Arabidopsis thaliana: one gene and its partner. The protein of the gene in region 1 interacts with the protein of each later gene in a biochemical or structural test. Each region holds a gene or a part of one and is shown in the gene's direction. Other genes may lie near its edges.

Evidence for each region.
Region 2: the proteins of CAND1 (region 1) and CUL1 form a complex in vitro, tested with the Arabidopsis thaliana proteins (one study listed by BioGRID).

The regions. Positions count from the first base shown.
Region 1 is NC_003071.7:688,245-692,813, forward strand, and holds the start of CAND1 (cullin-associated and neddylation dissociated), read left to right. Parts: upstream 1-1,539; 5' UTR 1,540-1,691; intron 1,692-2,067; 5' UTR 2,068-2,100; coding exon 2,101-2,136; intron 2,137-2,218; coding exon 2,219-2,394; intron 2,395-2,494; coding exon 2,495-2,702; intron 2,703-2,991; coding exon 2,992-3,157; intron 3,158-3,435; coding exon 3,436-3,565; intron 3,566-3,750; coding exon 3,751-3,865; intron 3,866-4,077; coding exon 4,078-4,235; intron 4,236-4,322; coding exon 4,323-4,446; intron 4,447-4,569. Other genes in the region: AT2G02550 (PIN domain-like family protein), read left to right, coding at 353-520. UniProt on the Arabidopsis thaliana protein: Key assembly factor of SCF (SKP1-CUL1-F-box protein) E3 ubiquitin ligase complexes that promotes the exchange of the substrate-recognition F-box subunit in SCF complexes, thereby playing a key role in the cellular repertoire of SCF complexes.
Region 2 is NC_003075.7:1,126,988-1,134,330, forward strand, and holds CUL1 (cullin 1), read left to right. Parts: upstream 1-1,527; 5' UTR 1,528-1,676; exon of another isoform or gene 1,677-1,770; 5' UTR 1,771-1,826; exon of another isoform or gene 1,827-1,871; intron 1,872-2,295; 5' UTR 2,296-2,327; coding exon 2,328-2,458; intron 2,459-2,544; coding exon 2,545-2,644; intron 2,645-2,818; coding exon 2,819-3,004; intron 3,005-3,086; coding exon 3,087-3,134; intron 3,135-3,223; coding exon 3,224-3,427; intron 3,428-3,515; coding exon 3,516-3,593; intron 3,594-3,793; coding exon 3,794-3,883; intron 3,884-3,965; coding exon 3,966-4,046; intron 4,047-4,168; coding exon 4,169-4,228; intron 4,229-4,308; coding exon 4,309-4,338; intron 4,339-4,442; coding exon 4,443-4,529; intron 4,530-4,620; coding exon 4,621-4,770; intron 4,771-4,843; coding exon 4,844-4,899; intron 4,900-5,085; coding exon 5,086-5,206; intron 5,207-5,298; coding exon 5,299-5,460; intron 5,461-5,545; coding exon 5,546-5,689; intron 5,690-5,771; coding exon 5,772-5,990; and 6 more. Other genes in the region: LD (Homeodomain-like superfamily protein), read right to left, coding at 1-366, 496-626, 780-807, 1,101-1,265.

The DNA.
Region 1 (4,569 bases):
AGAAACTAAAGAAGAAGCAAAATCTTACGATTTTTCAGAATTCACAGACGATAATTTTCTGGAGATGTGCATTCTTTGCGATTGTGACTATTTTAAATGGCCATTAACGGAGGGATCCGAAAGAGCATATGAAATAATTGGTACTAAAACTATACGTGGTAGAGAGGTACTTTTTACTTGGTTTAGTTCAAAATAGTAGTATACTATACATTTAGATTTTGTATTTGCATGTATGATGACATGATGTGTGTTATTCATTTTCTTTCAGGTAATAGAGGAACTACTAGAGGACAGCACTGACCTAACTTCTCATCTGAAAAAATTCATAATTTTGTTGCTTTTCAAATATTAGTATGTCTATAATCAAGTAATTGAAGAGCTTCAACACTTGAATGTGCCTGAGGTGTCTAACCTTCCATTCTTGCGTGACCGTGAGTCTGGCGATGAATTTGTCATTCGAAAGTATGAAGATTCTACGGGCACATATTTGTCAACAACTAAGACTAAGGAAATAGCATAAGGAAGACTTAATCCTGAAACCCACGAAAAATTTACACACGTGGAAGTGGAAGAAACAGATGACGAAGAAACTACTTAGACAAAAGTATCTAATAATTTGAATTTCGAAGTTCTAGTTCAAAATAAAGGAAGTCTAATTTCGACAAAAAATCTCACATCTATACCATATTTTACGGTTTTAGTTTTTTTTAGTCGTTAGCAACAATGACAATCAGTTATATTTTGTTAACTTTATAATCGTTAGCGATGACTATCGACAATGAAATCATGTTTATTTGGTAGTCGTTGGGTCGGGAACATTTAACAAATGATTTTGATTCAATTTTTTTTTTTTCTTATAAACCTTATCGGCTGATCTGGTTAGCCCTAGTAAAAACACACCGAAATGTTTTCGAGTGGACTTCTTCCCGAAAAACCACCATACTGTCTGTCTGTCACGAGTTTGAAATGCTTTCTGACTAATGCCAGGGGGTAGTCAGGCGGCCGCCTACATTTCTAATTACCAAGTAAACCAATTAAACCAAGACCCAACTTATACACTTACCAACTTTCAAGGAGAATCGAACTCGGGTCTAAGAGTTTCATCCTTCCCAAAGCTTCCCCTACCACTAAACCACATATACTTGGCCTAGGTTGAAAACTTTCAGTGATACAATTTTTTACTTGCTAATCGTTCAAAAATATTGACCATAAATTGTCGATGAACCAATGGCTAACACTATTTAGTTGGTTGGTCGCAATCGCATAGCATGTCCCTGACACAAAAAAAGCAAACAAAAAAAGAACTACTTGGATCAAACAAAGAAACCCATGCTTGGGCTCAGACTGAAAACAAAGTAATTGGGCCAAACCCATTTAGTATTAACCGACTAATCAAGTCCAACAATGTACAGCATGAAATAAACGCTACCCATTAACCGACTCAAATCGCACCAAGTCAGGCCCAATTAATCCTACACAGGCCCATTTAGAAGAAAGTTAACTTCCTCCTTAAGAAGAGAGAAGGGCTAAAAATCAAGCTTTCACGAGTACGGAAATTTACAGTATCTCCTCCATCTTTTTTTACTTTCCTCAGAGCTCTCTCCTCTCCGCAACTTCCACCACCACCAAATCGGAACTCTCGGCGTTCTACTCCGTCTCCGGCGTTACCTCCGTCGATTTCATCTTCTCAGGTTACTTAGGGTTACCTCTTTTTTGCTTTTTGATCGATAAAGTGTGATGATGTCTAGCGTTAACTCTTTTCGTCTTCGTAGTCGTAGTCTTAGGGTTTTGGTGGCGACGATACTTTGATTTATCAAACCGAACTTCTTCTTTGTGATCTTCGATGAATCAAAAGTTTTCTAAGGGATATTAATTAGGTTTTGTTACCGGCGATAATTAATCCATCTTCGATGCTTCTTCTTTACACTTCTGACTTTGTTTCTGATGTTTTAACCTCTGTGGAGAGCTTGATAGAGTGACATTGCTCTGACTAAGCGTTTTAGTTCAACGCATGGTTGATTCTCTTTTTACTAAGTAATGAATTTTGAGATCCTTGTTTGATTGCAGTTGGAAGGAGTGAATTGAGAAGGTCGGGCCAATATGGCGAACTTACAAGTTTCTGGGATACTCGAAAAGGTCTTTTCATCATCTGTTTCTAATTAAGCTTAATTTTGTTTTTGAGTATAGTCACCTTTTCTCATTGCTGTATTTACTATAGTTTCAGATGACGGGTAAAGATAAAGATTACAGATACATGGCAACCTCTGATTTGCTTAATGAGTTGAATAAGGATTCCTTTAAAATCGACCTGGACTTGGAGGTGAGATTGTCGAGTATCATATTGCAACAGCTCGATGATGTGGCTGGTGATGTTTCTGGATTGGCTGTTAAATGGTTAGCTTTCTGCTCTTAGCAACTTATGACCTAAGCTGATGTTATACTTTTACATTTAGCTGATCTATCGTCGACCTTTGATGTTATGATTTTGTTCCAGTCTTGCTCCATTGGTGAAGAAGGTTGGAGAAGAACGAATTGTTGAAATGACCAACAAGTTATGTGATAAACTGCTGCATGGGAAAGACCAGCATCGTGATACCGCAAGCATAGCTCTCAGGACTGTTGTCGCTCAAATTGCTCCTACGCTTGCTCCATCTATTCTTGTTACTCTAACACCACAAATGATAGGAGGAATAAGTGGCCAGGTTAGTTGTTGGGAGGTCTATTCCTTATTATTTCGATTGCATATGCGACAGTGCTTAGGGTCGTCCTAGACAATTTCGGATCCCATCAAAATCATATTGATTGACATCTATTGGAAAATTAGTTGATTTTACGTTTTAAGTTTTATTGGATCTAATACAGTTAAAGAACTCTGTCTGAAAAACTCTTAGTAGACCAGAGCACAGTATATGCATATAATTATTTGTCTACTCTAAGGTTCTATCATCTTATTTTACAAGTAACTAATTTTCTGCGTATTTACTGCTGAAGGGAATGAGCTCAGGGATCAAGTGTGAATGTCTTGAGATCATGTGTGATGTTGTTCAAAAATATGGAAGTTTAATGACGGATGATCACGAGAAGCTATTGAATACATTGTTATTGCAATTGGGCTGTAACCAAGCCACAGTCAGGAAGAAGACTGTTACATGCATTGGTAAGTTCATAAAATTGAGTCAATATGATTGCTGGGTACTGTCGGTACTAATGTCAATATTTAGCTAATTTGAAACCAACTTTAATCTGCCGAGACTTGAGTGGTAGCTTTCCTTATCTATATTAGAAATATGGTTTTCAGCTGTTTGCGTCAATTCTTGTGAAACCGATGCTAGTTCAAATGATATATTCAATGTCATTTTTTTCCTAGTCGTATATAGAACTCTTAATTCGATGGTATATAGCCTCTTCTAAGTTCAAAATTTTGTGTGGTGTCAGCTTCTCTTGCTTCCAGTCTGTCTGATGATTTGCTCGCGAAGGCGACTGTTGAAGTTGTGAAAAATCTAAGTAACAGGAATGCAAAATCGGAGATTACACGTACCAATATTCAAATGATTGGAGCTTTATGGTACTTCCTATCTTCCTTCTTATCGGCTTGTTATATATCTTTAACTTCTTACCATACGTTACTGTAGTGTTGTAGTATGCTTCGGTTAGTTGTACTTGTGCTACCTATTTATTGATTGGGATGAATGGTTATCTACGACTAGGCTTGCCATGGTTGTAATGCTATTTAATGCGTTTTTGTTTCAGCCGTGCTGTTGGTTACCGGTTTGGCACTCATCTAGGTAACACTGTGCCAGTATTAATCAATTACTGCACTAGCGCTTCAGAAAATGACGAGGAGCTTCGCGAGTATAGCTTACAGGTATCGTGCAAGATTCCCTAATGTTCCTACTTTCTCACTACGCTTGCATTTTTTGTTTTCTCATCTAATTTTTGTAATCAGACAATTACTTAGGCGTGCTTGTAGTCTCTTTTCTTTCCTATGCTATTAAATTGGAATTCTAATCTTAGGTTCAATAAAATTGGTATGAACAATGTAGACGATAACATGTCTGTTCTGAAATTTGACTGCAGGCACTTGAAAGTTTCTTGCTACGATGTCCCAGGGACATCTCACCATATTGTGATGAAATTTTAAATCTTACTTTAGAATATATTAGTTATGACCCGAATTTTACGGACAATATGGAGGAAGATACTGATAATGAGACTCTTGAAGATGAAGAAGATGAGTAAGTTCTGATTTATTCATTGGAACAGTAGCCTAGCTCCTTACGGTGCACCATTATCTCACTGAAATAAGTCTTTCTTTCTCACAGCGAGAGTGCAAATGAGTACACAGATGATGAAGATGCCAGCTGGAAAGTTAGGAGAGCAGCGGCCAAATGCCTAGCAGGATTAATCGTTTCGCGTTCTGAGATGCTCACTAAAGTATATCAAGAGGTATATCTTTTTTAAATGATCAAGCGTATTATCTTTCATGACGGGAGTGTACAAGATTCCCTTACACAAGAGTTTTTCATTCTTTTACCTGTGTTTGATTAAATATGAAACAAGAATCTACTA
Region 2 (7,343 bases), on another chromosome or scaffold:
GATCAGCACAGAAGCATCTTGTATCTGCATGATCCACTCCATTAGTTTCACCTGGCCTGAAAATGTTTCCTCTTTACGCAGCAGAGAAAATATATTCTCAACAAAGTATTTGTCTGAATCGCTGATGTCAGGTGGAATATCTTCAGGTGGAATAAGTGCCACTGTTTCACCTTCACCCCAGCTTATAGAACATGCCTCCGGATGTATAGAGTTCAAGGGAACGGGTTCAACATGATTTGTGGCATTGTTATTTTCCGGAACACCATCATCTTGTAAAGCATGCGTATTGGACATAACTACTTTCTCCCTTGAAAGCCTCACCTGTTTCCTCACTCTTGTCTTTTGAGTAACAAAAAATTCTCGAACCTGCCATTGAAGAAAATAATAAAGAGACAAACCAAAGTCTCATGAGTACCTCAACATGACAGATCTAAACTGACATGGAATTCTAAAAGCATGGCAAAAAAGAGTACATATCATGTAGAAGAACAATACCTGGGCGACTGTGATGCCAAATAAAGCACTTATCTCCCGAGATTCCCTCTTACTAATAGCATCTTTAATTGCGAAAACTGCTTGTAGATACTTAACAGCCTTAGGATTCAACAAGTCTCTTGGCCGCTTTCCTGAAATATTTACAAATTCATCAGATACTAGGCATCGAGCACGTAAAAGTTGGGTATGCCTTTAATGAACCTAGAGAGCAACAATGAATTGAAACATTCTCTGTGATATACGTAATTATGCCAAAAGATCTCACGAATCCTAAGATGACTCACCAATTTTAATGGACAAAGCACCAGCAGCCTGAAACAACAAAAAAATTAAACAGATTAATGTCTTTAACAGAGATGATTACTTGATCAGAGAAATGACATATAAACAGTTGAAGCATCACCATTACAGTTCACAGAAGAAACGGAGAGGTCGAGCTATATGAATTTATACCAAAAACACCTCTAATTTTTGCTAGACTCAATACCCTTCAAAGAATTTATTCCAAAATCCGAATGACCTGTCCCTCTCAGCTTTGCCCATATCACCATACCCCAATAAAACACGAACTTTAGATACCAAAAAACATAGAAACAATAACCCACCATTTCTTGCGCAAGGGGATTAACGCCGGTAAGTTTGCATTGCGCAACGACGACATCTTGGAGCTGATCGATCTGGCTATGAAAAAGCACCTTCTGCGAATCCAATAGCTCCATTAAAGACTCCACCGAGCTCCCGATTTCTATCTCCTCCTTGAACGCGTCCATGGCCGCCGACGGAAAACTCGAAGACCAATACGCAAACCGAATTCAAAATGTGCATCAGGGAATTAAACTGAAACGTAGGACTCAGTGATTCGAATGTGTTGAAACGATAAATTCAATGAACATGGTTACCTAATTTCGGATTGTCAAAAAGCCGATTCGGGTTAGGGTTTGAGTAAGGAAGGCAAAATAAAGGGGCATAAAAGTAAATAAGTTACTTTACAAAGAAAAATTATAAAACGCAGCGTCTTGATGTAGATCTCTGAAAAGGTAAGAAATTAAATTTGTTTAATATTATACTAATATATTAGTTGACATAAAATAAAAATAATTAAATCTATAAGACCTGAAAATAATAGAATAGAAGAGAACGAGTTTGTTTCCTGAGATATCTTTTCACCGCCCTTCTCATAGGTCTCGTCTCTCTTTCTCTCTATTTTACGCTTTTTTCCTGAACGATTCTTAGGGTTTTGATTCTCTCTCTCTCTCGCTTCTTTTTCGATCGCAGCAGCTCTCGCCGATCCTGTGTAATCGGGAATCGGTAATCGTCAGGGTCTGTTTGGGGTACGGCGACGCGATTTTCTGATTATTAGGGTTTAAGATCTCGAGGTATCACTATTTCTGTCGGATTCTCGCTTGTTTTGTTCCATACGACAGTTGATTTTTTTATCATTCTGTTGATTGTTCGTCTTTCTAGGTTTTTATTTGAATTTTTGTGGGATCGAGATTGTTAGGGTTACGTCGGAGTCTCTGGATTGCGTTTCTACTGTGTAATTTCGTGTTTATCTCATGGATTGATTGTTTCTCGAGTATATTCTGATGCTTATGTCCTCGTTTGCGCACAATCTGATAGTTTGGGTTTGATTTGGGTGATAATACTCGTTTCGCATTCGATAATGTGGGTGTTAACGTGTTATTATAACCTCTGAAGAATGATAAATATTGTTGACTCTCTCGCTTCAGTCATTTCATTGTGTTGCTTAATACTGCTGTTCTAAATTTTGGTTTTCTCCTTGTTCTTTGGTTAACTTAGGTTGAGGAGAGCTTGAAAAGTTGTTTGTCAACATGGAGCGCAAGACTATTGACTTGGAGCAAGGATGGGACTATATGCAGACTGGAATTACTAAGCTGAAACGGATTCTGGAAGGATTGAATGAGCCAGCATTTGACTCTGAGCAATATATGATGCTTTATACGTAGGTTTTATACTTGTTTATTACCTTATATAGCGGTTTGGCTGTTTGTCCTGATACTTATGATGGGGAATTTATTTGATTCTCAGGACTATCTACAACATGTGCACCCAGAAACCTCCTCATGATTACTCACAGCAGCTTTATGACAAGTATCGGGAAGCATTTGAGGAATATATTAACTCAACAGTGAGTCTGATTGATATTTAGTTTCTTTCTTATAAACTTCTCGTTTTTACTACCTCTGAATTTTAAGATGCCACTTTTGTGCATGGTTTCATATGTCAAGAAGTCCTGTCCCCTCTTGGTTTTAAGTTGATTCAAACGGTTTTGAATGTTTGCTCTCTTGTTGTCTGTGGTTAGGTTTTGCCTGCGTTGAGGGAGAAGCATGATGAGTTTATGCTGCGGGAGCTATTTAAAAGATGGTCAAACCATAAAGTAATGGTCAGATGGCTATCCCGCTTCTTCTACTACCTTGACCGTTACTTCATTGCTCGGAGATCACTTCCACCACTGAATGAAGTTGGCCTGACATGCTTCCGTGACCTGGTATGGCATTCATTCCTGTGGCTTTATAGCTTTCAGTTGTATTGAAATATTTTTAACTTTTCCTTGATTCTGTTCGCTTCAGGTTTATAATGAGCTACATTCTAAGGTCAAACAAGCTGTAATAGCTCTTGTAAGTATGGCGTCAATATTGTTGTGCAGTTACATCCAACTCTGGCTTTTGCCTGATTCAAGGTCTAACATGACCTGTTCTTCTGTCAGGTTGATAAAGAACGGGAGGGCGAGCAGATTGATAGGGCCCTGCTGAAAAACGTATTAGATATCTATGTAGAGATTGGAATGGGGCAGATGGAGAGGTATGAAGAAGATTTTGAAAGCTTCATGCTTCAAGATACTTCTTCGTATTATTCTCGCAAGGCATCAAGCTGGATTCAGGAAGATTCTTGCCCTGATTACATGTTGAAGGCATGACTCGTGATATCATTTTCTAAAATTTGTTTTTATTTCACAATAGTTGAAATTATTTATTAACTTCTGTGCTTTCATGTTACAGTCTGAAGAATGTCTAAAGAAGGAGAGGGAGAGAGTGGCTCACTACCTACACTCAAGCAGTGAGCCAAAGCTGGTTGAGGTTGGTTATTATGCACTATGTAATTATGCCTGTACTTGTAGGTTTGATGAAGAAACCATAGATCTTGCATAAGCCTTGATTTTGAATTTTGTTATTTGTATTGAGATACTTTCCAGACTCTTTTTAAATGCGTAGTCCAGGCATACTTGATTTTAAAGATTGATATCTGTTTGACTTGTATAGTAATCTTTTGTATGCAGAAAGTACAACATGAATTGCTGGTTGTGTTTGCAAGTCAGCTTCTAGAAAAAGAACACTCAGGGTGCCGTGCATTGCTAAGAGATGACAAGGTAGAGCAAGTATTTTTGTTTTTATTGTTGAGTAGTTAGTGACTTAATTATTTCTTTAATGGTTATATTTGTCTACTTTCAGGTGGATGATCTCTCCAGGATGTACAGGCTTTACCATAAAATTTTGCGAGGCTTGGAACCTGTTGCAAACATCTTTAAGCAGGTTTATTACCTATCTTCATTCTTTTGTTTATGATTAGCAAATGGATAGTCTTTTCTTCATGGTCTACTTGCAGTCTCTTAATTACTGTATGACATTAACTGTAACTTGTTATTCGTTCACAGCATGTCACAGCAGAGGGTAACGCTCTTGTCCAACAGGCCGAAGACACGGCTACTAATCAGGTTCATATTATCTTACTTGTTATATTCGGATAACTCTTCTTTCTTCGTTTGTGATTGCTAAGATCGTTTTTATTCCACAGGTTGCAAATACTGCTAGCGTCCAGGAACAGGTAAAATTATAAACCGATTGTAGTAAAGATATATTGGAAATTAGAGATTCATTTTTTTTGGGGATAAAATTGCTAACGATTCACTGTCCTTTCATTATTTCCAGGTTCTTATCAGAAAAGTGATTGAACTTCATGATAAATACATGGTATATGTCACCGAGTGTTTCCAGAACCACACCCTCTTCCATAAGGTCTAATGTTCTTTCTGCGCACTTGTCATTTGTCTATCTTATTCATGTTTATGTTGTGTTACTAACCTAAGTTTATGGAAACATATTTTAGGCTTTGAAAGAGGCATTTGAGATTTTTTGTAACAAAACGGTTGCTGGAAGTTCAAGTGCAGAACTACTTGCAACATTTTGCGACAATATTCTCAAAAAGGGGGGAAGTGAAAAGCTGAGTGATGAAGCTATCGAAGATACGCTTGAGAAGGTACTTTTGTCAAACTGTTTTTTCTTTTTCAAGTCTCCAAAGAGTGGTCCTGAATTTTATAATGTTGTTACAGGTTGTCAAATTGCTTGCATACATAAGTGACAAGGATCTTTTCGCTGAGTTCTACAGGTTTATCTCCAACTTCAATCTTTCTTTATCTGTGGATCGACTCTTTTTGCTTCTACTCTTTGTTTTTCTTGTAATGTTTTGTTTTTACTAGCTTTTTGTGGAGATGCCTTGCAACAATATACAATTTGATTGACATAAGTTGGATTACTGAGTTGCAAGCCATTTTGTTTATGGTTTTGATTGCAGGAAGAAGCTGGCCCGTAGGCTCTTATTTGATCGCAGTGCTAATGATGATCATGAGAGAAGTATCCTGACAAAGCTCAAGCAACAATGTGGTGGACAGTTTACTTCTAAGATGGAGGGCATGGTTAGTTTGAGTGTCCCTGTGTTTCTTATTTTAAAGCGGTGCGTGCTCTGATGACTTATGTTTTCTATATAATTTTAATCCGCTGGTGACAGGTGACGGATTTGACACTGGCAAGAGAAAACCAAAACAGTTTCGAGGATTATCTAGGCAGTAACCCTGCTGCAAACCCAGGGATTGACTTGACCGTCACTGTTCTTACCACTGGTTTCTGGCCAAGTTACAAATCATTTGACATAAATCTACCCAGTGAAATGGTAAAAACTCTATTGATTTTCTTACATACCTGAAAAGGAGATTGTTTGCTTCTGATAGATCTAATTCGTTGATTCTTTGTTTCAGATCAAGTGTGTTGAAGTCTTCAAAGGGTTTTATGAAACGAAAACGAAACACAGGAAGCTTACGTGGATCTATTCACTGGGAACTTGTCACATAAACGGGAAGTTTGATCAAAAGGCCATCGAGTTAATAGTGTCTACTTACCAGGTACTGTATGTTTCTCAGAAAATACTGATATATATTTTCTATCTGTAAACGGACTCTGATGCCACGTTCTCTGTCTCTATAGGCTGCTGTGCTTCTACTCTTTAACACAACTGACAAGTTAAGTTACACTGAGATCTTGGCTCAACTGAACCTAAGCCATGAAGATCTAGTTAGGTTGCTTCATTCCTTGTCATGTGCTAAGTACAAGATACTCCTTAAGGAGCCAAACACCAAGACTGTCTCCCAGAATGATGCCTTTGAGTTCAACTCCAAATTCACCGATAGAATGCGCAGAATCAAGGTTTGTGACGTTAATAGTAATACTCAAAAGTCTGCAAGTTTATGTCATGTTTTACATATTGTTAATAACTAACATCAACTTGGGTGATTTGCGTCACAGATCCCTCTTCCCCCAGTTGATGAAAGGAAGAAAGTCGTTGAAGATGTCGATAAAGACAGAAGATATGCAATTGATGCTGCCATTGTCAGGATCATGAAGAGCAGGAAAGTATTGGGACATCAACAACTTGTTTCTGAGTGTGTTGAGCAACTTAGCCGAATGTTCAAGGTAAATTATACATATAATTATATTTATACAGAGACATTTGAAGATGCACGTGGTGATGAAACTCATTGGATTTGTGATGTTTGTTGCAGCCTGATATCAAAGCGATCAAGAAGCGTATGGAGGATTTAATAACCAGAGATTATTTGGAGAGGGACAAGGAGAATCCTAACATGTTTAGGTACTTGGCTTAGGGCAAAAAAACAACAACTATGGAAGTGGTTGGCTCATGAAAGGAATCTGCTTGTATATTTAGAAGTCCATATGGAGACTGTCCTAAAACAAATTTATCGCTTCATTTTCGCTATTTTTCTCTTTTAAAAAATATTCGGTCTGTGCTTTTTTTTTGGGATGCAAATTTGCCTTGTGGATTTTTGTTTCTTAAATATTGAATGGAGATGGAGAAATGGCCTTAATGAATGAATCTCTGCTTTCTAATATATTTATCCTTGATCATATTATTTAAGTTTTATGTATCTCTGTGTTATATTGACGGATGGGAAAGTCGTAACAAATAATATGAGATTTCTTATAATCGAACGCTAATGAGACAAAGATGAACCGACGGAAGGTGCCTTCCTCAATCGCCGAACATTAAAAATCATTGTAATCATCTACGTCATTAGCTATAGTCCACCAGAACCGTAATAGTTTCTGCTTAGGACCAATGTCTTATATTTTAAGCCGTTTTTCTGTTGTATGATGATCTGAAATATTATTGGGATACAAAGACGGGTATGTTAAGGTTAATAACAATTTTGAACGGGTTAATGGTGGAGCTGGTGGATTATATTACTTGATTCCAATGTGCTTTTTTCTTTCTTTTTTGGGTTAATATGAATTATGAACGGATCATCAAAGACGATATTTGGAGCCTACACAGAGAATGATATATACGACATGGAGAAATTCTGTTCATATATGTTTTGAGGTGCGGAGTCATTTTACTCCATCGAGCAAATGTTTCTCACTTTTTATTTGCTTGAGATTCTGTTAAACAAACAAAGAATCATGCCATTGCACTATGATGAAAAAGCTGCGAGGAGATGTGCAAATTATAAGAATCAGCAAATTCCAACGGGCTTCAAG